4 linked regions of the Arabidopsis thaliana genome follow. The protein of the gene in region 3 interacts with the protein of the main gene of each other region in a pairwise test. Each region holds a gene or a part of one and is shown on either strand. Other genes may lie near its edges. The genes, in order: ARF8, NPH4, IAA6 and LSMT-L.

What was found.
Region 1: the proteins of IAA6 (region 3) and ARF8 interact in a two-hybrid assay, tested with the Arabidopsis thaliana proteins (2 studies listed by BioGRID).
Region 2: the proteins of IAA6 (region 3) and NPH4 interact in a two-hybrid assay, tested with the Arabidopsis thaliana proteins (2 studies listed by BioGRID).
Region 4: the proteins of IAA6 (region 3) and LSMT-L interact in binary tests that used the Arabidopsis thaliana proteins (3 or more experiments, as listed by UniProt).

The regions. Positions count from the first base shown.
Region 1 is NC_003076.8:14,627,455-14,634,995, reverse strand, and holds ARF8 (auxin response factor 8), read right to left. Parts: upstream 5,544-7,541; 5' UTR 4,846-5,543; coding exon 4,803-4,845; intron 4,719-4,802; coding exon 4,609-4,718; intron 4,520-4,608; coding exon 4,421-4,519; exon of another isoform or gene 4,315-4,420; coding exon 4,258-4,314; intron 4,182-4,257; coding exon 4,026-4,181; intron 3,933-4,025; coding exon 3,848-3,932; intron 3,567-3,847; coding exon 3,476-3,566; intron 3,405-3,475; coding exon 3,240-3,404; intron 3,156-3,239; coding exon 3,033-3,155; intron 2,921-3,032; coding exon 2,845-2,920; intron 2,717-2,844; coding exon 2,569-2,716; intron 2,337-2,568; coding exon 1,363-2,336; intron 1,275-1,362; coding exon 1,084-1,274; coding exon of another isoform or gene 1,080-1,083; intron 1,008-1,079; coding exon 890-1,007; 3' UTR 542-889; downstream 1-541. Other genes in the region: AT5G37030 (P-loop containing nucleoside triphosphate hydrolases superfamily protein), read left to right, coding at 1-382. UniProt on the Arabidopsis thaliana protein: Auxin response factors (ARFs) are transcriptional factors that bind specifically to the DNA sequence 5'-TGTCTC-3' found in the auxin-responsive promoter elements (AuxREs). Seems to act as transcriptional activator.
Region 2 is NC_003076.8:7,016,079-7,023,741, forward strand, and holds NPH4 (Transcriptional factor B3 family protein / auxin-responsive factor AUX/IAA-like protein), read right to left. Parts: upstream 6,036-7,663; 5' UTR 5,427-6,035; coding exon 5,381-5,426; intron 5,061-5,380; coding exon 4,948-5,060; intron 4,848-4,947; coding exon 4,752-4,847; intron 4,648-4,751; coding exon 4,591-4,647; intron 4,503-4,590; coding exon 4,347-4,502; intron 4,260-4,346; coding exon 4,175-4,259; intron 4,084-4,174; coding exon 3,993-4,083; intron 3,911-3,992; coding exon 3,743-3,910; intron 3,652-3,742; coding exon 3,456-3,651; intron 3,358-3,455; coding exon 3,219-3,357; intron 3,142-3,218; coding exon 1,163-3,141; intron 1,085-1,162; coding exon 894-1,084; intron 807-893; coding exon 626-806; 3' UTR 392-625; downstream 1-391. Other genes in the region: CPN20 (chaperonin 20), read left to right, coding at 103-276. UniProt on the Arabidopsis thaliana protein: Auxin response factors (ARFs) are transcriptional factors that bind specifically to the DNA sequence 5'-TGTCTC-3' found in the auxin-responsive promoter elements (AuxREs).
Region 3 is NC_003070.9:19,671,968-19,675,684, reverse strand, and holds IAA6 (indole-3-acetic acid 6), read left to right. Parts: upstream 1-2,032; 5' UTR 2,033-2,125; coding exon 2,126-2,525; intron 2,526-2,717; coding exon 2,718-2,808; intron 2,809-2,936; coding exon 2,937-3,015; 3' UTR 3,016-3,209; downstream 3,210-3,717. UniProt on the Arabidopsis thaliana protein: Aux/IAA proteins are short-lived transcriptional factors that function as repressors of early auxin response genes at low auxin concentrations.
Region 4 is NC_003070.9:4,804,801-4,809,450, forward strand, and holds LSMT-L (Rubisco methyltransferase family protein), read right to left. Parts: upstream 2,718-4,650; 5' UTR 2,641-2,717; coding exon 2,177-2,640; intron 2,087-2,176; coding exon 2,058-2,086; intron 1,932-2,057; coding exon 1,720-1,931; intron 1,605-1,719; coding exon 1,482-1,604; intron 1,394-1,481; coding exon 989-1,393; exon of another isoform or gene 909-988; coding exon 693-908; 3' UTR 506-692; downstream 1-505. Other genes in the region: AT1G14020 (O-fucosyltransferase family protein), read left to right, coding at 44-311. UniProt on the Arabidopsis thaliana protein: Protein-lysine methyltransferase methylating chloroplastic fructose 1,6-bisphosphate aldolases. Can also use with low efficiency gamma-tocopherol methyltransferase as substrate, but not a cytosolic aldolase.

The sequences.
Region 1 (7,541 bases), on a different chromosome or scaffold from region 3:
AGTGATTACTCCTTACAAAGGACAAGTTAGAGCAATCCAAGAGAGAATCAGAGATAAGTACAGTTCCTTATCAGGTGAGCTTTTCACTGTGAATGTTCGGTCTGTAGATGGGTTTCAAGGTGGTGAAGAAGACATTATCATCATCTCTACCGTTAGAAGTAATAGTAACGGGAAGGTTGGATTTCTCAGTAACCGTCAAAGAGCCAATGTGGCACTCACTCGAGCTAGGCACTGTTTATGGGTGATTGGAAATGAGTCAACACTGGCTCGGAGTGGTTCGATTTGGGCAAACCTTATAAGTGACTCGAAGAGACGTAAATGCTTCTATGATGCTAAAGATGATAAGAGATTGAGAGATGCCATGAATGCTGTCCAAGGTTGATAAGTCTGATGTGTGTGCACGTTTAAGTACTCTTTGGGTCAAAAAGAAAGGGAGAAAATGAGTTGTTGGTACTTCATCTATGTCATTCTTCAACCTAAGTTACTAGTAGAAGCTTTTGGTAACATTTTGTGATTAATGGTTGTGTTTTAAAGATTTGGTTGGTTTTGGTTTCACACCTTATGGAATCTAATTGGTCTGACCAAACTGAATGTCTAACAATGTTGTTACAAAAATAGAATAAGAATAAATACTAGAAAAGTTTAGTTACCCTGAGACAGCTACATAAAGGTTCTTATGTTTATGACGAGAGTGTCTGTCTAATACAAGCTAAAGTACGTCCTAAAGTTTCAGGACCCATACTCACAAATATGATTATGTTTCTTTCTAAAAACGTCAAAACGAGAGAGATGCGAACGAATGGCATATAAAGATGAGTGGAAACGACTTCAAATGGGAAACAAAGGGCTCCCGCGTTGTAGCATGATGAGACTAACACCGAAGCAGCTTCTAGAGATGGGTCGGGTTTTGCGGGAATAACCCACCACTGCCTTCTCCATGATCTCCCATTTGATGCACATCTTCTGGTGATAGTATCTTTATGTACCAAACGTTATTCACAAATGACCTGCAGAACAAGCTTTTAAAGATCTATCTCAAATCTAAAGCAATGTATACAAATAGAAGAAGAGTACTTTACTTACTCCCATGGGTCATCACCAAGGAGAAGAATATCATTTTCCTTGTCAACGAATACAAGCTGCCAGCCTGATCTAAGGGGGTCTTCCAACAACCCTTCGATAGCAAACATCTTCCCTAACTCTTCTCGCAGCTCGTGGTAGCTGCTGAATCGGGAGATGTCTAATGAACGCCCAACCGAACCAGATTTATAAACCTGCAGTTTTGGATTTGTAAGCATATCAGTATTTTCTTAGAGACAGTAGAGCCACAGAGAAGTCGGTGAGCCTAGAACAAACCAGCACCTTTACAAAGTTCTTGGTTTGGTTGGACGAGTTAATCTGTCCAGCTCCATGCAATAACTCATGAGTTGTGTCTTGCATGCAGCTATATAAGGAATTCTGAAATCCTGAATCTGTTAGTGACATAGGGGAAGCTTCAGCATCTCCTGATGAAGAAGCAAAGCGGGGAACCGTACTGGGGAGGAAGAGTCCAGAGTCGGGATCAACACCGAAAAGAGAGGGATTCTGCGGATTTCCGGGTTCTAGAGCAAGACTCTTCCCAGGATAGGCTTGTGGAAGTGACAACGGTTCAGAAAAAGTGTTGGATGCTTTTGGAGACCAGCCCTCTGTTGTTAACTGCTCAGGGAGTACAGACTGACCGGTTATAGAAAAATTCAAAAGATTGCCATCTCCAGAAGCCGGACTAGCAGTTGTTGCAAATTTGTTGCTTGAGTCAGTAAAATCTGACTTCATGAACGAGGGAGATGGCATCTCTGATTGCTGCTGCCACTGTTGAAGATGGCCATTTTGCATTTTGAAAGCATTAAGATATGCATTTTGGTCCGGTTGCTGTAGCTGTTGCTGCTGTCCAGCTGGTTGGTTACTAACTTCTTGTCGCATATTCTGCTGCGGAAGATTCTCACTCATAATCTGTGTTTGAGCATGCATGAGATGGCGTGACGCTTGTTGCTGCTGTTGCTGCTGAAGCATCAAATCAGAATTATGGGAAGCTGATTGTTGAAGATATTGGTGGTGAGGCTCTTGCAGCTGTACAAACTGCTGTCTTAAAGGATCTCCACCGCCGATGTTCTGCAACCCAGCAGCTAACATTGCTTGGTATTGCTGATTATTATCAGTCCCCATTTGACTGAGATCCAGCCTTTGTTGCATCCATGGAAACAAACCAACAGATGGATAATTTAGAGGAAGCAAACCTTGCTGCTCTCCACCTCCCCCTCTTAGCCATGTTAGACCACTTCCCAAATCACCCCTTCCATCTGTAACATCATAATGTTTTGAGTAAATAGCTATGGAGAGTACCTACACACTTCTTTGTAAATAAATTATAACAGTAAGACCCTCTTCAGAGCTCTACTCAATCGAACATTTGTTATTTATCCGAAGTAGCAACTAAGTTACAATAGCAGAAACACTGAGTGACAGTAAGAGACTTCACGAACGTACTATACTAGTTAATAACAGTTAGGAGAAGAGCCAAAAGGTGGATACCAGGCAAAGATGATGTGCCAGCATGCCATGGACGTTTTAGTCTGAGAGGAAAAAGAGATGGATACATAGGAAAGGTAGTCAGAGGCTCAATCTCCCATAAAGAAACCCTTGGCTGTCTCTCCCCTGCAGTCGATTCATCCCAACCAACCTACACCAATAATGCCACAGTTCATCAATGTTGATGGAATTTCAGAGTAATATTGGACTAAATCATCAGAAAGCTGTGTGACGTTCCATGGAATTTAAATAAGGTAACAGGCTTAATAGTGTTGTTACCTTCACAGATCGCCAATGAGAGTTTGGCCAACGAACAGAATCTAGATCACTAATACCAGTTATAGTACCCATGTACCTGGAAAGTTCCCCATGCCACTGTCAGAAAACATGTTAAAGTAATATGTGTAACATAATGATATAGTTTTCTCAGTTTCAAGATTGCATTTCCAGATATGTGGCATCATCACCTGCGGACACTCGACTCTTCTGTCTCGAAGAGCATGCGAAAGCGCATCCCAACTGAAATACGCGTGTGAAAAACGGCTTTAATGTACTTGGAAAGTTGTATCACAAACTCAGATTGGCTAGCCCTGAACATGAAGAGAATATTAGTAGGATATATTATCGGATATACCGAGAGATGAAAAAGATGCAGGTGGGAGAGATTTTTCAACCTTGGATGAAAGAAAACAGTGAAACAGCTATTAGTTGCAGAAGCATGTGCAGCAGCAGCAAGGAGTCCAATATGCATGCTATCACTAGATAAAACAGATGATGGTACAATAGTCTGCGGCCGAGTGGCATGACGAATTCCCAAAAAGAGTTGATTCTTTTCATTCCTGGAAACAAGTAATAGTGTTACAAATATAATCACAATCCACAAACTGAACGTACAACAAAAGAACTAAACCTGATGAAAATGACAGAATCTCCAGCTACTAGTCGCTTGGCACTGACAAAGACACTCCATCCAGTAGTTAGGAGATGCCGTTTGGGCTGTCCTGCATAATCACACCAAAACCATGTAAGTTATTCCTAACAAACCAAGAAGAAGGATTCAAATCAACTTAACTTCATATGAACAAGTAAATAATTCCACGTTATAATAGACAACGACAAGAACACAGAGCCTCCGTGGTTTCTTCAACTAAACCACACATGAGTAGTGAAAATAACAGCAGATGCTGCTTCAGACATACTTAACAGCCAATTGAAATTTTTACACTGGCGACTACAGTTAAAAAGGGATCATCAACGCACACCGAGGAAAGGTGAAACCTACCCCGAAAGATATGCCTAAACTTCCATTCAACATCATGGAGATCCCTTGCAATCAGTTCTTGAGCTGGTGGCTGCAGTGTGTAATCCTGCAACAGGGAAGACACAAGATATTAAAAGGAATACATATATTTTCTCAACAACAATTTATAGCAAAGTAAGTAAAAGAAAAAGTATAATACCAATGGAGGAAACACTTTCTCAGCAGCACGTCTAGGAACAGAAAACCCTCCATGTGTACTGGTATCACTAGCTGTGAGAGTCTTACAAAAATAATTACTAGGTTGCTTACTCGGTATCCCCAACTCAATCGGTACAAATGTTTCCTTCTGCTCCTCCTATAAACAACACCAATCCTAAAGCTTAAGTTATTAATTCACAGACTCAAAAACCTGTTATGTATAATGTATCTACCGGTGTCAATGGTTGAAGTGTCATTTGAGCATAGACTTCATCCGTCTCAACATCTGCCTGAAATAGTAGAAACGAAACCCATACTTACAAAGCACATCATCCCAAAACTAGTTTACAAAAGTAAAAATTGAATATGGAAAGGGACAGGGAACTAACTACGCACATGCATTGTAACATTATGGAGCTGGCATATCAATTGTGGTGGTAGGCTTGGGTAATTGGGTATGTGACCATCAACTTCCTTATTAGTTGTAGCAGCTACCTACAAGTACACTTCTATTTAAATGGAAATGCCCAAATATAACACAAGTCTAAAAATAAAGCTCCATACTTTTAAACAACAACCCAAACCTGTTCACTGTGACCCTGTGGAAAGTAAACAACTCGACTACCAGATGATGGAAGAGAGACTAATGGTCCAGCACAAGCATGCCATAGCTCAGAATTCAGACACTTCTCTCCTGTTAGAACAAACACAGACACAAGAACTAAGAAAACACTTGTCCAGAAACAGAACTAAGAAAATCAGAGAGTAAACAAGTCACCTTCATGACCCTGTTGACCCAATCCAGATGTTGACAGCTTCATGTCTAATTCAACTTCAAGAAACCAAACTTTGAAAACCCTAATTTTTCCGTACAATCTATTAAAAAATCTTCTTCACTTCCAGCTACTACAGTAGCTATAACTCTTTAGCTCCGGAAGTACAAACTCGTCTTTCTCCATCTCCTTTGTTCAAACCCCCAAAAATCTCACTCACAACCATAAGACTCAGTGAAAGCTTCGAATCAAAAAACCATCCATAAAACCCTTAAACACAAGAAACAGAACAAACCCCATTTCTTCAAAACCAGAATCTGTTTCTTCTCATCATCAAACCATGAACAACAACACAAGCTCTCTACTACAAGTACGCATTGAAGCAACCCCAACAGAAAAAAAAAAACTCTTGTCTTTGAGATCTTTGTGGATGAAAAAATGAAAGAAACAAGACAAAAGAACAAATCTTTCTTCTTCAACAACTTGACTTCTCTCGTGGGTAAAAAATTAAATCTCTTGAAGCAGTTCCATCACTGTCCAAGAGAGACACTTTGGCTTTCAAAAACAGAAGAGAGAGAGAGAAAGAAATGGTTAGTGAGAGAAAAAGATATGTGTCAGAGAGAGAAAAGAAGAGTGCGTGGGGGTGAAAGAGAGAGAGAAAAGAAGAAGAAAGTGAGTAAGTGGTTTTCCTCCTCTTATAAGAGACCCGACCCGACTCCACCCGACCCGGATTTGACCCGGATCCGATACAGTGGAGAGAAGGAAGAAGAAGAGAGGTCCTACTAACGAGAATTATGAGAGGTGGTGTCAGTACCAGAGTCACTTCTTTTTGACCGTTGGATTTGACTCTTGAGATCTTGATCGTTGAAAAATAATAATTGTTTTTTTTGAGGTCTTGGATTCGATGAAAAGGACAATGAATTATAGTATTTGAAGTGAGAGAGTGAGAGAGAGATAATAGAGTTGTCATAAATGTTAGCGTTGTTTATTTTAAATACTTTTTATTTTTGCTCCATTCATTGATGAAAGAAACACCAAATACTCCCATAATTTGATTTATTTAAAGATAATTTATAGTAGTATTTAATTTAATAACTCAAAAAATATTTTGTTGGATCTTTTATGAGTTCGTTGAAAAAATGGTCAAAGGTTTATCTATTGATAAGTGATGTATTATTAGATTCGCAAATCTAAGTTCTAATTTAGAAACAATCATTAGCAAATAGATGCCCGATAATCCAACATCTTATGGATACCACTATTTTACTTACCAAAAGAGAAAACTAATACACATGGATCTTGTTTGAATAATTTTTAAAAAATTTGGGATATGGAGTGTATCACTTGGAGAAGCTGGATTTGGAATAATCTTTGCAAGTTAAGACCCTTAACTAGGTTTTTCATCGTTTGTGAAATTGGTTCAGAAATAACTTGTAATTTCTGGACTGATAATTGGATTTTTTTGGGACCATATTTGTCGAGCTAACCTGAAGATTTATGACTAAGAATTTCTCTTCTCCCTCGTTCTGTTGTGGTTGCGGATGCATTGAGAAAGAGACAATAGTGGCTTACAAATTCTCGAAGTCGCAGTCCCATTATTCAGTTGCTTAAAGAATGTCTTCCTTCCTATTCTACTGTTAACTTACAAGAGGATGTAGAGGATGATGTTTACCTTTGGAAGGTGATGATATCCATGCATCAAATATTTTCTCTGCTGCTAAAACTTAGGCACATTAATATTCAAAAAAAAACTTATGCACATCTTCATCCTCCTGACACAAAGATGGATCGGTTTGAATCTGTGTGATTTCCAGGAAGGATTCTTAAGCATGCTTTCATTGCTTGGCTAAAGTCTCATCATAGACTTCTCACTAGAGACAAAATGATTCGATGGGGCATGACTACTCCTTCGTCGTGTCTTCTCTGTAATTTGATGGATGAATCTCGCTAACATTTATTCTTCGACTGCTCTTATGTTGCAAAGGTATGACACTATTTCTATGATAAAGCCCATCTTTCTCCTCTAAATCAATTTGAGGATGAAGTTAGATGGTTGAAGAATCCTTGTCGTGACAAGAAAACTACTTTGATTCTTCGAATTGCCTATCAAGCCTCACTGTACTCCATATGGAAAAAAGCGCAATGCAAGATTGCATAATTCATCCTCAAAGCCAGCCTCAGTTCTCATTATTTATCATTAACATTCTTCAATGTCATCTAGACCCTTGTTGGATAGCTCAACGGATCATTCATCTGGTTTGGTGTCTTTCAATAAATTTATTGTAATACTTTTGTTATCTCATTTATTTCGATTGTAGGTTCAATTTTCCTTGGTGTAACTTTTCCACTTCTATTATATGAAAGATATGTTTTTTGAATAAAAAAAACTGCTAAATGGAAGTTTCCTTCGTTCTATCGATGGTAATATCGTGCGATACGTCGCAATCATTTATATAACTCAACGATTGATTTTTTAAAACAACATGATGTCAAATTATATGGGCTCATCATCATGGGCACAAAACAAATACTATTACATGAAATTAAATTTAAAATTAAGATTACTATAATTTCAATATATTTTAAATTTATCAATTAATTATTTTCAGTGGACATAAATATGCATATTTACTCATCAATAATACAATAAAACATCTATAAATTGATAATGTTAGTACCATGCTATTTTATTAATGTATACTGATATTAACTTATAAAGATTTTATTCAATTGTTTAAATTTTA
Region 2 (7,663 bases), on a different chromosome or scaffold from region 3:
ATGTCCATTCGGGGAATCTGATACTTTCTTAGTAGCTTGATGTGATAGTCAGTTCATACACAAGTTCCAATTATACATATTCTCCTCTTCATTTTATGGCAGGTGATAGCAGTTGGACCGGGTTCCCTAGACGAGGAAGGTAAAATTACGCCTCTACCAGTATCAACCGGAAGCACAGTACTTTACTCCAAGTATGCTGGTAACGACTTCAAGGGCAAAGATGGTTCCAACTACATTGCCCTCAGAGCTTCAGATGTGATGGCTATACTTTCTTAGTTATGTTATATCTTTGTAATCTGCAACTTGTATCCCAATTGTGGAAATTTTTTCCGTAAACGGCCTGAGCATAATCTGGAATAAAGACTTGAGTTTGAAAATGTGATTTTATTGCTGATTTCATGTTTTTCCTTCTCTTTTTGGTTACAAGCGGTTTCAGTTGATCAGTTAAACTTGGTAGAAACAGTGACTCACAGCAAATAAAATCTCCGTGTAAACTTAGTGGAAGATATTTTACAGGTAAATGCTCTACAGTGCCCAGTGGAAACTTGAGACATGTTATCAACGAGAAGTTATATTACAAAACGAAGAAAAAAGAATCTTTGTCTGTGAGAGAACTCTTCTGCCATCACCGGTTAAACGAAGTGGCTGAGTTATCATCATAATGACCTCTCCAAGCATTGCCACTGTCACCGCCACTACAAGCTTGATTAGTAACTGGTACACCGGCAAAGTTCCCGTCTAAGCTCATCTGCTGAACCTCAGCTGATGAAAGGATCTTAATGCTCTGAACACAGTTTACGAATTCTCTGCAAAAATCACGATTTTAAAGGTTAGCAAAAAAATAATGGAACTTCTAACAGTCTGATGTGTGAATGTAATTGCTCTCTACTTACTCCCATGGATCATCGCCGACGAGGAGGATGTCATTTTCATGATCGACATAAACAAGTTTCCAGTCAGATGTTTGAGGATCTTCGAGCTGTCCTTCGATCCCAAACATGCGCGCTAGATCATGCCTCAGCTCATCGTAACCTCTGTAACGGTTGACGTCTATTGATCTCCCCACTGAGCCTCGTTTTTGCACCTGTAGGAAAATTTAACATTTGTCAAACCGAAAACATAACCCAAATATCAACAAGCATAGATCAGAGCACAATCGAACCTTTGTATAAGTTCGCATTCGCTGAGTCTGAGCTGGCCACAATCCACCACCAAGAACTCCAGCATCGTTGACAGCTAGATCGTTCGAAATGGCGGGCACATTGGGGACACCAAAAGATTGAGTTCTTACAGCTGAAGTAGACATCTCTGTACCAATGTCATTTGTCACTCCTCCATAGTTTGAAAGCATGTTCTGAAGATCTTTCTGGGAGTCATATCCCCTCGAGAGTAGCGTGTCAGGCACAAAGCCATTATCAACATTAGCTCCACCGAGCAAGCTGTTCCTGGAATCACCGTCAAGGCCAAAAGTTGGAGCCAAGAAATTTTGTTGTCTGTTGTTTTCGCCTCCATCTAAACCGTAAGAAGTTCCAGAGGCAGATGCTTCTAGTTGATGATCTGTTAAACTAGCTTTGGACTTTTGCTGACCCACGAGTTCTTGTTTTAGCCGCATATCGGATTTGCTGTAAAGATCCTGAACAAGATTACCAGACATATCAATCGCTGCATCAGGTATCAAGATCGCTGGCCCGCTTTGGCTTCTGTTGAGAAAGCCTGAAGAAGAGATCTGACAGTTGTTGGTGGAAGGCGACGTTGAAGAGGAAGGTGCATCTCCTCCATCTGTGATGCCTGAATAAGCTTTGACCCCTCCCCCAACCGGTGGGTTTTGTTTTTCCTGAGGTCGGCTCACCAGCATTTGAGGTGGTTGCAACGTCGATAAGCCATTGTTAGTGCAAGATGACGGAAACTGATGACCTTGAGAGAGAGTAGGCAGCTGTTGCAACTGCTGGCTTTGCAATTGATGGTGTGGTAACTGAGACTGCGGCGAAAGAAATTGCTGCTGCTGTTGCTGTTGTAATCTCTGTAACAGCTGAAACTGTATATGCGGCTGTTCCAAGAGACTCTGCTGGAATATCTGTTGGGCCTGTGCCTGGTGAGCTTTCTGCTGCAAAAGTGTTTGCTGATTCTGCCCGTTGAGACCAGGAGGCTGCTGCTGTTCTACTTGTCGTGAAAACTGTGTCTCTTGCGGCGGTGCGGACATCAGATTGGATGAAGACTTGCTGGTTTCAATTACACTACTCTGGCTAGTGCTAGCACCTAAATGGTGATGTGCTTGTTGAAGTTGCTTAGACTGTTGTTGTTGCTGTTGAAAGCTTTGATTAAGGGAGCTGGACGGAGGCGTGATGACACTGCTTGCCATTGATCCCGAAACTAATTGTGGTTGCAAATGATGTGTAGATGCTTGTTGCGACTGATGCTGCTGCGCTGCTTGTTGACCATTGTAAAGCTGATTCTGTGGAACCTGAAGTTGCTGCAACTTATGTTGTTGTAACTGTTGTGGCTGTGGATGCGAGTGAGATTGCAATGGCTGTGTTCTTAGCTGCTGCTGCTGAGTCTGTTGCTGTAACGGTTGTTGATGTTGTTGCTGCAGTTGTTGTTGTTGTTGCTGCTGGAGCAATTGTTGTTGTTGCTGAGACTGCGATTGATTGTTGTTGCTGTGTTGTTGAGACTGCAATTGTTGTTGCTGCTGCAGCAACTGTTGTTGTTGTTGCTGTTGTTGAGACTGCGATTGCTGTTGTTGATGGTTCAAAGAGGAGTGCAACAATTGCTGCAGCTGCTGTTGTTGGGACAACGTAGTTGGTGGCTGAGGCAACTGAGACATTGGGGCTTGCTGATTCTGTTTGTTAAATTGGAGATTTGAGGAGGAAATCCCCCCGTGCGGCGTCTGAAAGCTCAGTAACTTGGAGGGATCATCAGTGCCGCCAAGATTGTTGTGCAGCGCCGCGGTTGGCGAAAGCATTGATGGGAAGAAACCTGGCTGTGCAGCAGCAGAGGGTAGCTGGCCGTTCTGCTGCTGCATATTCATCCACTGAACTAAACTCAGACCAGGAAAGATAGTACTCGAAGGGTCTTTCATCTCTAAGCTATTATCAAGCCATGGCATTGCTCTCTTCAGTGCAGACTCCATGTCAGTCTCATCATCTGCAAGAGCACCGGAAATTCCGTCCTTGAGGAGATTCAAAGAAGTTGTGTCGAAATGAAATGGTACAAAAATTTACCTGGCATTCCAGGTTGTCCAGAAAAGCGAGGTCGGAAAAATGGAGGAGGACATATGTAGAAAGGAGTTAAAACCGGTTCAATGTCCCAAACTGAAACTCGACTGGGCCTATCACCAGCAGCTGACTCATCCCATCCAATCTTTAGCAGAAACAGAAACAAAGCATAACTAAAATGAATGGTGCAATGTATCAAGAAAGACAAATCTGACATTCATCATGAGTTTTACTTCAAACTACCTGAAGATTCCGCCACTGAGAGTTTTTCCATCTCACTGGATCAAGATCACTGATACCGGTAACTGTACCCATATACCGACGAACTCCACATTCTTCAGTCTCAAATATCATTCTAAACCGCATACCGAGGGAAACTTGAGCGTACATCGCTTTGGTATACTTGGCTAAAGGAACCACAAACTCAGCAGGAGCAGCCCTGAAAAAACTCGGTTGTAAATCTCTCAGCAATTGCCATGAAACAAGCATATATAGTAAGGTTAACGTAGACAAAAGGAAACATAGATCGCCACCTCGGGTTGTAGAAAATGGTGAAAGGACTGTTATTAGCATTAGCATGAGCTGCAGCTGCAAGAACTCCGATGTGCATGCTATCACTTGATATTACAGATGAAGAAAGTGCAGGCTGTTGTCTATTTGCACGTCTTATCCCCAACAGAAGTTGCGCCTTTCCATCTCTTAATTGAAAGAAAAAAAGAATTAGCATCTTGACAAAAAAAAATACCGAAAGAGAGCATTGGCACATTGAGATTGATATACCTTATAAAAAGAACAGAGTCTCCAGCAAAGAGCCTTTTCGTGCTGACAAACACACTCCAGCCTGTAGTTAGCAAGTGCCTTTTTGGTTGACCTGATAAATGTCAACATATCCAAAACGTAAGAACAATTCTACGAAAGCCAAATTGATTAAAGAAGGTAATCTACCAAAAACAAGGTAAAACCTCGATAAATATGTCTGAAAGTCCATGTGTTGTCATGAATATCCTTAGCAACAAGCTCCTGACAAGGTGGTTGCATCGAGAAATCCTAGTAAAATATTGCCAACAATGTAAGAAACTAAGGCAATACAGAGATACTAACTATCAGATGTATAAGAAAGTATTGTATATACACCAGAGCAGGAAAGATTTTCTCAGCAGCTCGTCGGGGTACAGAAAATCCACCGTGAGTACTTGTGTCACTCGCCGTGAGGGTTTTGCAGAAAAATTCATTAGGTTGTCTGTTTAGCTTAAGACCCATGTCAGAAGCAAGCAATGCATCTCTGTCATACTGTTCAACAAAATGCTCAGAGCAATTAGTCCCTCCCTACTCCTTAAATACACCTATAAATCGAGTTATTCAGTGAAAGGTAAGCTACTTTGTTTACTGGCTGAAGAGTCATCTGCGCATAGACCTCATCCGTCTCAGGATCAGCCTGGTTCACAGTCGACAATTAGCAAAACATTAGCAACTCAAAAGCAAAAAATGTTAAAACAACTAGCCTAAGAGGCCATTATAGATATTTAAAAGATACCATACATTCAGTGTAACATTGTGGAGCATGCATATGAGCTTGGAAGGAAGATTCGGGTAACTTGGTATGAAATCAGTCTGCTTCTGCATTGAAGCCGCGACCTAAGAAACAGAAAAATAAATAGCAACCACATGAAATTTCCAATCAGCGACTCATTCTTGATCAGCCGCGAATGATACCAAACTTTATTGAACAACATACTTGCTCACTGTGACCTTGAGGGAAGTAAACAACAAGACTTCCTGCTGGAGGCAACGAAATCAATGGCCCAGCACAAGCGTGCCATAGCTCTGAGTTTATATTTCTCCTTTCTCCTGCATTCACACAACATCAAAGCTGTGATTACTTAAAATCTCTAGGATCTTCATTCAGTTACTATTATCAAACCAACAAGATAGGAGAGAACTGCTCTAAACCAACTAAAAGCCACAGTCTTTATAAACCAATACAATAGTAACTTAGCTTACTCTCTAAGCAGAAAATGACCGAAACCAATTCAATTCAGGTTCTCAAATCCAGCAATTCTGAAGAAATGTGTGACCTCTTCTACTTAAAACTTGAATCTATTCAAATCCAGCAATGAATTTCTTCTACTAAAGGATTGACATTTATCAGATACGAGAAACACACAAACCTTCAACAGGATTAGGAGAAACTCCATTTGATGAAGGAGCTTTCATGATCACTCAACTTTACTTTCTCTGAAGAATAAACCCAATAAATAATCTGAATCTGAGCTTATACAAAGCTAAGCTCTTTGCGTGAGAGCTTCATCAAAAGCCCTAAACTTTCACTCAAGTTGTTAATAGCTTCCTAGCTCAAGTAACAGCAGAGAGAATCGTTAATCAGAAATGGGGAACTCCAAGATCTCAGCTTTTTATCTCCGACAGAGCCGCCAATTTCTCGGAAATTTTAAGTATCTCAAAGAGATCAAAAACCACGACTTTTCACACGCGGAATCTCCGGAGAGACAAACAAAGCATACGACCTTAAAAAAGATTCCGTTTTTAACGAAGCTCTTTATCTCGAGTCAGATAATTCAAAAACACCCACAAAGTTACTTGATTCAGCTGCTCTTCTTTGTTTTGCTTTCCTTTCTTGGGGGGAATCAAATCAAAGAGACGGGTTTCTATAAAAAGAAATCTGGAAAATGAATCGAAAGAGAAAAACAAAACTTAAGGATGACCAAGGACAATCGAAGATTAAGACTCAAACGTGAGAGAAAGAGCAACAGAGTTGTCGGAAAGGGATGATCAGCGACCAGGACAACTACCAAAAGGTCTGCTAAAGCACAGGAACAGCTTTTTCTTCTTCCTCTCCTTTTTTTTTCCTTCTCTTTTCTTTTTCCGATATTTTTATTTTTTTATACCTATTTAGTTATGCTCATGAAGCCGACATATTCACTAGCAAACTGGCCACGATTTAATTTCTTAATGTTATTATTGTCCTCTAAAATTTTAACTTTGACACACAAAAAAACAACTTTATTAGTGTTTTCTTTTTCCTTATCTCTGATAATTTGATAAGTTTTTTTCATTAAGGTTATTATTACTGTATCATTTATTGTAATACTTGATTAGGGATAACATAGATTTATAGGGGATGTATTGAAAAAAACAAACTAAGCTGACTAGCTAGTTATTTGATCAAAGTGCGTACATATATGTTTGGCAATTTCTTTTGTAGTTAACTATATTTAATTCAGATAGATTTTAGGATTCATAATTCATCAAAAAATTTTATGATTTTCATTATTTTGAACAAAAGCATTTTACTAGAAATTTTGTGGAGTTTTACATGGTTGGTTCTGAGTTTCATAAACTAGCGTTCATGTTTTAAACGAGAATGGAACTTAAATGTTTAGTAATGAGTTCTATAATAACAAACAAATCTAAATTCGCTTAGATCATCATTATAAACAATTGATCTTATTTTGTTGTAAATGTTGATTAATTGATCAAATCTAAGTACATACAGCATATGCGATCACAAAGAACAATATTTTAACGGACGATTTCATATCAAAAATGATAGAAGTTCTCTCTTTGTTCATGATTCTTTATTGGTTTCTTATATTAATTAACCTAAACTTTTGTCTTTTGGAAGAAGTGTTATAATGTCACACAAAATAAAATTACATATGATGATCACAACTTACACTCTTTTCCCAGTACAGCCATCATTCAAAATTTTCCTCTATAATCGTTAAAATGTCTACCCAAAAAAAAACGGTGATATATATTCCTAAACATATTGGAAAACCGAATATAACCATAAATATGTCATTGTACAAACTACAATCTATTTGGTTTAAGGCCACATAACAAGTTTTATCTACCAAAGACTGAACCTCCATATTCATCACAGACCATTGTAAAATGCATGTAAACCCTTTGAATGACCCCACATCAAAAAAGAAAGTTACAAAACAGTAACCTCTTTGTTAGTTTAGGTTCGATCCAAAACTTATTTGGCAGGAATGCTTAAAATTCTATATACTTACAACTTTAAGTGAAGGTAATATATATGTATGGAATGAATGGATGTCAATTCAAATAAGTGGCAGTGAGTAGCGACATGATGTCCCTGAGCAATAAATGCGTGAAGACAGAAGTTTGGAGATTGGATGAATGTAAGAAGGCCTTTTGAAGTTATGGATTTCGACGCCTAGCTTTTTTTTTTCTTTTTTTTTTGTGAAACTTTGAGGCCTAGCTAACGTTTAAAAAAAGAAAAAGAAAAATGTTAATAGTTTTCTTATTACAAAGTGACCGAAATTTAGTATGAACTCCGAACTACGACTTCATGCATGTATTAAAGTTGGAATGAAAGGAAGAAGAGCGTGACGCATTTCAGAACCGGTTGTGTGTCCGTATGGTGTCCGCAGTGGAAAGTGGAAAATGAACAAGATGAATAACTC
Region 3 (3,717 bases):
ATTATCCCTCGCAAAATTTGCGACGGAAAAGCGACGTGTCTTCTCTCCCTCGCAAATGTCTCGCAAATCTGTAGCAATTTGCGAGGGATTGTTTCCATCGCAAATTGTCCTCGCAAATCGCTTGTTTTCTTGTAGTGGTATTTGGAAGTTTATAAGGTTTATCAACTCCAACTTAAATACTTCTTCCGTCTTTGATACTAGATGTTTAAATGTTTTGCACACAAATTAATTAATCATTTATTTTTATTTATTTTTTAAACTAAAAATCATTTATTATGTACCTAAATACGATTCAACAAATAATAAAACAACCTACAGAACTTAAATCGTGAAAACAATTAAAAAAATTTACATTGAAAGTTGAAAACATTATCTAGTTTAAAACACATTTTTTTTCTTCTCTAAAATATGAAATATATAAAAATATCAAACTGAATCATTCTTTTTTCTTCTTCTTATGATCTCTGTCTTTCTGTTAGATTATATATATGAGAATCTTATATTTGTATATATCTAATATCTTAGGAACAGATTTATGCTTATCTCATGTAACCCTATATATATGTTCAATACATAACTCTCCATTCACGGAGATTCATACAATTACACTTTCATTATCATCACACTTGTAAATACTGAATTTTATAGTTGCCTTCATGATTTCGAACTAGATATATATTCTGTTGGTTCTGATTACATTTATATACATAAATTTATTCCAAGTTGCGTGTTATTTATTTGATCAGAATTAGTATATGACCCAAAAATAAATATTCAAATCAAAGTTCATGCGGTTTCATCATTTAGCTACGCGATGTAGGAACATACTTGACATCTTATTTTTATTTGGTCGTTCTTCTCTATGAATCACGTGGAAAAGTATACCAAATGATTTTTGGCAGATACGTATTACTAAAGTATCCGAGATTAAATATTAATACACTATATAGAAGAATTAATGGGACATAAATCATAAATGCATGGAAACATTGGTGAAAGACACTTAACACTTGGGACGACCAATGTTGTTTGATATGAAGTGAAATTAACGCGTCTGCCTAATTGTTATGGTTCATATTATGTCACATGGACCAACTTCTTGTTCTTCTTCATTCAAGAACCAACTCACGTACACGTTTTTTCATTTTCTTCCCTCAAATATCTAGCTGTATATTATATTGCAAAATCCAGATTTGAATATGATCGATGCAAAAGATTGTTTATAGAGTAGAGTAGTAGACTAAAGAACCAGATTACTCTTACCTATTCAGATTATTTGTGTTATATTTTGTAACTAACTTAGGTCACTAAGTAACGAATTTAAAGCTAAATGCATCTATTCATTCTATCACAAAATCCAGCCGTTATTTTTTAGAAATGTGAACAAATATTAAGCATTAAGATATTTAAAATAGGAAAAATAATAGCCACAAATAAAGTAAATTAAAGAAGAAAAAAAAAAACATTAGTGATAGTCCGATGATAGACGTGTCCTATTGATTACATGTTATTTCCCACTCAACTTCCTTAATTCTAATTCCAATCCTTGATGTGAGGGTTTTTTTCTTCATTGATTCTCAAATCTACATTATGTGATTCTTGATGTACCTGTATGTACAATTTGTATTCAACTACCAAATAAAAATGTGAGCAAGAATAGGCTAAGAAATAATACTAATACAGTATCCTTAGAATACATAATTGTATATTATTAAGGATAACACATGTAATGTTTAGGAAAGATGGCCAATGATAAATCTTATAAGAAACCTAACAAATATTAACACCGGTAAGATTTGTTCTCTTAAAACAAATCCTATATAAACAAAAATGAAGAACAAGGACCCAACATATGTCTCTCATGTGACCGACCAACACATCCTCAGTTGACCTGTCTTTGGTCTAACCTTGTCTTCCTCCACAAAGCTAACAGAAATAATTATGAATGTTAGTCTCTTCCATGTGTCAGTATATTATTGGATCTTGTTGGAGCAACTTGACAACATATAAAAGCACGAGGCAGCTCAATACTATCATTCCAACAAGAGAAGTGCTTGAGAGAAAAAAAAAGTATCAAAACTTCATATAGCCAAATTTAAACAAAAAGAAAAAAGAGAAGAAATAAATGGCAAAGGAAGGTCTAGCACTCGAGATCACAGAGCTTCGATTGGGTCTTCCAGGAGATAATTATAGCGAAATATCAGTATGCGGATCGAGTAAGAAGAAGAAGAGGGTGCTCTCGGATATGATGACCTCATCAGCGTTAGATACTGAGAATGAAAACAGCGTCGTTTCATCAGTTGAAGATGAATCACTGCCGGTTGTGAAGAGTCAAGCGGTGGGATGGCCACCTGTGTGTTCTTACAGGAGAAAGAAGAACAATGAGGAAGCATCGAAAGCTATAGGCTACGTGAAAGTGAGCATGGATGGTGTGCCATACATGAGGAAGATTGACCTTGGTTCGAGCAACAGTTATATTAATCTAGTCACGGTTCTTGAGAATCTCTTCGGCTGTCTTGGCATAGGTTAGTAATGGCATGGACTAATTTCCCGTAACGTTAGTTAATAGTTACATGACCATGTTTATAATTGAGCTATAAACTTTATATATACGTATTGTTAGGGTTTCTATATATATTGGAAGTGTGAAGAGAGTAAAACACATATATTAGTTGGAACTTTATGAAATATAACACATGTATATATAAACTATGCAGGAGTGGCGAAGGAGGGTAAGAAGTGTGAATACATTATTATATACGAAGACAAGGATAGAGACTGGATGCTCGTCGGAGATGTACCTTGGCAGTAAGTTTATGTTTAGCTTGCATTACAATGCTCAATTATCAAATTTACCAAAATGAATATAATTAACCTCTTACAAGTCAAAAATTTGTAATTTTATTTTTTAAATTGTAAATTTTTTTTGTCGGCAGGATGTTTAAAGAATCATGCAAGAGGCTGAGGATCGTGAAGAGATCAGATGCAACTGGTTTTGGTCTCCAGCAAGATTAATCATACTAGCTAGTGTTGATCATCTTTAATTAACCATAAAGTTTGAAAACCGTTGAGTAATTTTTTTTCATTATAATCATTTTTCAAATTGTAAAATTTATATGATAATGATGATATATACGTTTTCTTCAAATGTATTTCCTTACTGGTCGTATCATACTTTAATGTTTTATGGCTCATTAAAGGTGTTTCTTAGCCTCACAATACTTTTTTTTTTCGTCTGAATGATTCATATGAAATATAACACTTGAAATTGTTCACAAAAGTACAAAAGGAAACGAGGGTAATCAACTACAAAAAAACCATAACAACAAAGTAATGCCTCACAATAGTTTGCTTTAGTAGTTTTCTAGACTTACTATTATTTTCTCTTAAAAATCAAGTGGTACGTGATTATTATAACTTTATAAATCCTCCGGCTAAATCATCTTTTTATCGCCGATCCAAAGATAGTGGAAACCTATGAATCTTAAACGGAGCTAAAAATAGTGAAAACCTAATGAATCTTCCCAACTAATTTAAGAAAGAATGAAAAATGTTAAATATTTGTTTTTTTCTTTCACCAAGAGCCAAATTAAAGCTGGCTTATTCCTATATCATATCAAATGTAGTTTTGGGTGAAGATTCTAACCACTTTGTCGGTCCAAATAAATGTTGCCATATCTTCCGTATTAAATGATCATATCAGTTTGCAGGTAGCAG
Region 4 (4,650 bases), about 15 Mb from region 3:
TCTATATAACCATTATTGGTCTATATCTGATTTGAATTTGCAGATACCTTGGATATAAGAAGACAATCCTGCTTGACCGTAAGAGACTCGTGGAGCTACTAGACTTACATCACAACAAGACCCTCACGTGGGATCAGTTTGCAGTAGCAGTCAAGGAAGCCCATGAGAGACGAGCAGGAGCACCTACTCATCGAAGAGTAATCTCTGACAAACCTAAGGAGGAAGATTACTTCTACGCAAATCCTCAAGAATGTCTTTGTGAAGGTACAAATTGCCACGACCTGTTTGGCCATAGAAATTTAACACATTGAAGTCATGTTTTTAGCATATTATATCTCATTGCTTCCGCAAGAGGACGGCATGTCAAACACTTGAACGGGAGCTGCATAGTTCCTTCCCTGAGTTTTTCCATTTTTGTTTGTAATTTTTTTCAATTTTCCTGCATAGTTGCTGATCTTGATTTATTTAGTTTTACGTAAATTAAGATGTAACTAAAAAGAAGATTATGTCTCATCTTATAGAATTTCAAAAAGCCTGCTTTTGGCAATAGCCTAACATACAAATTGTGGTCTCTCAACTCTGATGTCTTGAGGTTGATTCAAGTCTATGTGGTCTGAGACCAAACCAGTAAAGATTTTCTTTCTAGCCTTGAGTTTGTTCTGCAGGATAAGCTATACAAGCTAAGCTAATTCTCACTTGGTTTCCCAGAAGATAATATCCCCTTGTTCGCCAACCAACCCAAGATCTTTGAGCCTTCTCTCTTGGTAATACTCTAAAATGTCAAGTTCAAGCTCTCTATCCTTGAAGATTTGGTCGATTTGCTGAAGCACTCTCTTCTCACCAATCCTTATCTTGAGAGCCATTTCCAACCTAGGCTCAAGCTTTCCTTTGTCCAGAAGCTTCTCATCCTACAACAGACGATGAAGACGAGTAAGAAATGAGTGTTAAGCTGCAAAGACAGTACAAGTAAGAGCTCGAACATATATACCTCTTCAATGGTCGTATCAAAACCAGACAGAGCAGATTTGCAGGCATCTCTGACAACACGGCATATGAGTTCCTCGTTTGTACGACTTACAGGCAATTCAAGATGACCCCATATGGTGTTATTGAAGATAGATTCTAATAAGAAAGCATCTGGACCGCCAAGAGCCACAAGCCGAAGGTACTGAAGCATACCAGCGGGAAGAGTCTGGCCGTCTACTATGTCAAAGTATCCGGTCTCACCCATCTTGTTACTCTCAGCAATATCCAACTTATCCCCAAAGAATGGGTCTGATTCTGGTATCTCTATTGTTAAAGTATATGAGTTCCGTTTAGGGTTTGATTCCACAAAACCATAGTCGAGAGCAAGTTCTGCATTGCTTTTGTTCAGATCGTACTGAATGTATACCTATGGAAGAGATCATCCAAACAGTATTAAAGGGCTTGTTCTTACACTCTTGAGGGAGAAAACTAAGTAGACAGTGTTTGGAGCATACCTGCTCACCTGCTTTAACATAAACAGGTGACTTCAAGGAAAATAAGAGATCTCTAGAGAAAAGGCCGGCTCCTTTGATCTCGTATGCATAATCTTCTGTCTTTATCGCGGGGTTATGGTTTATCTGTTCAAATTCAAACATTGAAGTCAGAGATTCTCTGCTGAGCCAAGCATCAATGAATGAAGATTATTTTCTGAAGTTTTCACTAGACAATATCTGAAACAAGAAGATAGCTTGCCAAGTCTGCAAGAGGGATCAAGACAAGGTTTTGGCCACGGAGACGAGAAAAAGCCCTCGACTTGAGGATCCCAAACGCCCATATGAAGTCATCAAGTGTTATGCGGGATGAGAAGAGATCTTTGTTAGGCAGTAATATCTCTTGTTCCAGTTTCAAGAATTCATTCTCCACATACTCTTTCACACCCAATGTGGTGCTCAACAGTTGAGTCCCTGAGCCAAACAACAGTAACCACAAAGTTAATAATGTACATCATCATCAGCTACTGCTACTCAGACCAATTGGTATGAATCTAAACAATGATCAGACTTTTCAAAGAAAAGGGTAAGAAAATGGACCTTTAAGCTCAGCAAGCTCCTCTTCTGACCTGTACTGGAGACATTTCACGAAGAAGACATCTCATCAGCTTAGTGTTGATCAGAGATACAATTGATGATCAGAGAAGGACAAAACCCACCAGAAGACAGTAGAATCAGTAGATTGAGGAAGCATATCAAGATAAACTCTCCATGAAGACTCTTCTTCATACTTCTCTCTGATCAAAAACAGAGCTACTGAAACCCACGGCTTTAATCCGCCGCATAAAGGTCCAATCTTGGAAGCAGTCACTGTCTCTGGGTTTATCCACAATCGCTTGGGAATCTCCAATACGACCTCGTTTCTTCCAATATCACGCCTGGCTACAAGTCCCAAACCTTCCGGTACCACCGCAGGTTCTGCCACAGACTTCCCGGATACGACTCCTTGGTCTCTGAGCCATTTCCAGAAATTCCGAACATTTTCCGGCAACTCTGAGCTTGAAGCTGAAATGGGTCTCACCAAAGATTTCTTGGGTCGAGAAAAGAGAAAGGAAGGGTTTTGAGACTTTTGAATTGACGGGATACGGAGAAAACCCGACACGACGGCGACGGAGGCTGACATGGTGGTTTTCCGATGGCGGGTAGTATCAGTGAAACAGAGAGTGTGTGGATAACAATAATATCACATCAGTTTTTTCTAAGTTGTTGATGAGACAAAAATCTAGTTATTCTAGTTACCAATGTTAAAGGCCCATTATTCTAAAAGGCCAAGGCCTACATTTTATTTTTGTTCTGATGTAATTAAATTGTTAATTGTCTGTATTTATTTTCATTTTTAAAAAATTATCTTTTTAACTTATGGTAGCTTCAACTTCTTTTTCTTTTTTTTTTTTGTCATCTCAACCTTTGTAAGAAGAAAAATGGTCAACTATAGCTTCAACCTCAAATCTACTGACTTGACACTTGAGTTTTAAATAGGTAACATCTCATGGAGATCCCAATATTCATTCTAAATTCCTCCAAGATAATGCAACATGTTACAACAACAACAACAACAACAACAACAACAACAACAACAACAACAACAACAACAAAAGAGATTGGCCGAGACATATATGTAGTATGTACCCACCATATCACACATACCTTCATAATCATCATCATCATCATAATATCAAGTGGTCTAATTCAAATGTTTTTGATTTAATTATGTGTTTAAGTAGTTCATATTTAATTGTGTGCTAAAATACTTATTGTAATTGAAGAATCAAATATACAAGTCTTATTCACTATTCTTAATCAAATAGAAATTAGTCTTAAATTTGTAATTTAGGGGGTACAATGATCCACTATTCTCCATCAACGTAGAAGACAAGTAATTTACTTTGTAATATAGGTAATGGTACGTACGTAGTAATCACATGTAAAAGCGGAACTTTCCTTTCTCTTGTTTTGCCGGCTTGACCACGGGATATGAGACCAGTAAGGTACATGTGTAATGTGATACCTATCAGAAACCCTATTACACTCTTATCAAAAAACAAAACAAAACCTATTACACTCTCTCGGCTTAATTAAGATTATGATCAATTCCAAATATGTTTCTGATATAACTTTAATTATTAACGAGAAAACCAAAGTTTATTGCTACTTTTTTCCGTCGAAATGGCCGCTATTTTAAGTTTTAGACAATAACTTGGTCCATGAAATTAAGGTACAACGTCGATATTGATTAAGATCAGTTTACTTTTGCTAATATAACGTGTTAAGTTTGAGATGGGAGACACGTGAATGACTTTTCATTACTTTCAAAAATTGTTCAAAATTCCAAAATTGGCAACAAGACTGTTTTAGTTGTTAATATGCAATTAGACTGTTTCAATAGAGTGTATTTTTCTTTGTCAAAATGTAATAAGTACTAATTTGTCATACAAAATATCAAATGTCAAGAACATAAACTCTTCTAACGGAACCGCTTGTCGCGCCGAAACTCGTGTGGTAAACCTGAAAAACAACTCACTAATCGCAATTTTAAATCAGAGACTGAGAAAACACTTCTCACGAAAACCACAAAACGCGGTCAATATCGGGATGACGACATGATGTGGTGGTCGGATTGACACAATTCAGGTTGGTCAACAAAATTCATCCCTCTAAAATATATTTTCTTAGTTCGTTGCCAAACAGATATCTTACCTTTACTCTTTTTTTTTTTTTTTTAAAAACTCATATAAATAGGATAGTTATTAAATTTAACTACAAATGGTATTGTATATGTATATTCTATGGCTAGGTGAAAAGGCTTCCTTTAGTTCGAGAAGGTCAAAATGGATGGCTAATTAACTTTTATATACAAACAGTATATGCCTAACATTTAATAAGGAGAGACTCAGATTCCTTGTCAACTACTCACTATTGTCTCCATGACTCTTTAAAAAATATATTTTTATAGAATCTTAGTATTCAGAAATTAAACCGTAGCCTTTATAGGATAACAAATGTAGATGATGTTAAATATGAAAATTGGCTCCACAACTGTCCATGAGGCATAAATAACTCGAAAACTTAATTAGTTTGATCTTACAGATAACTAATTTTTTGTCACATTTATTATACCCCAAAGTATCTTAAT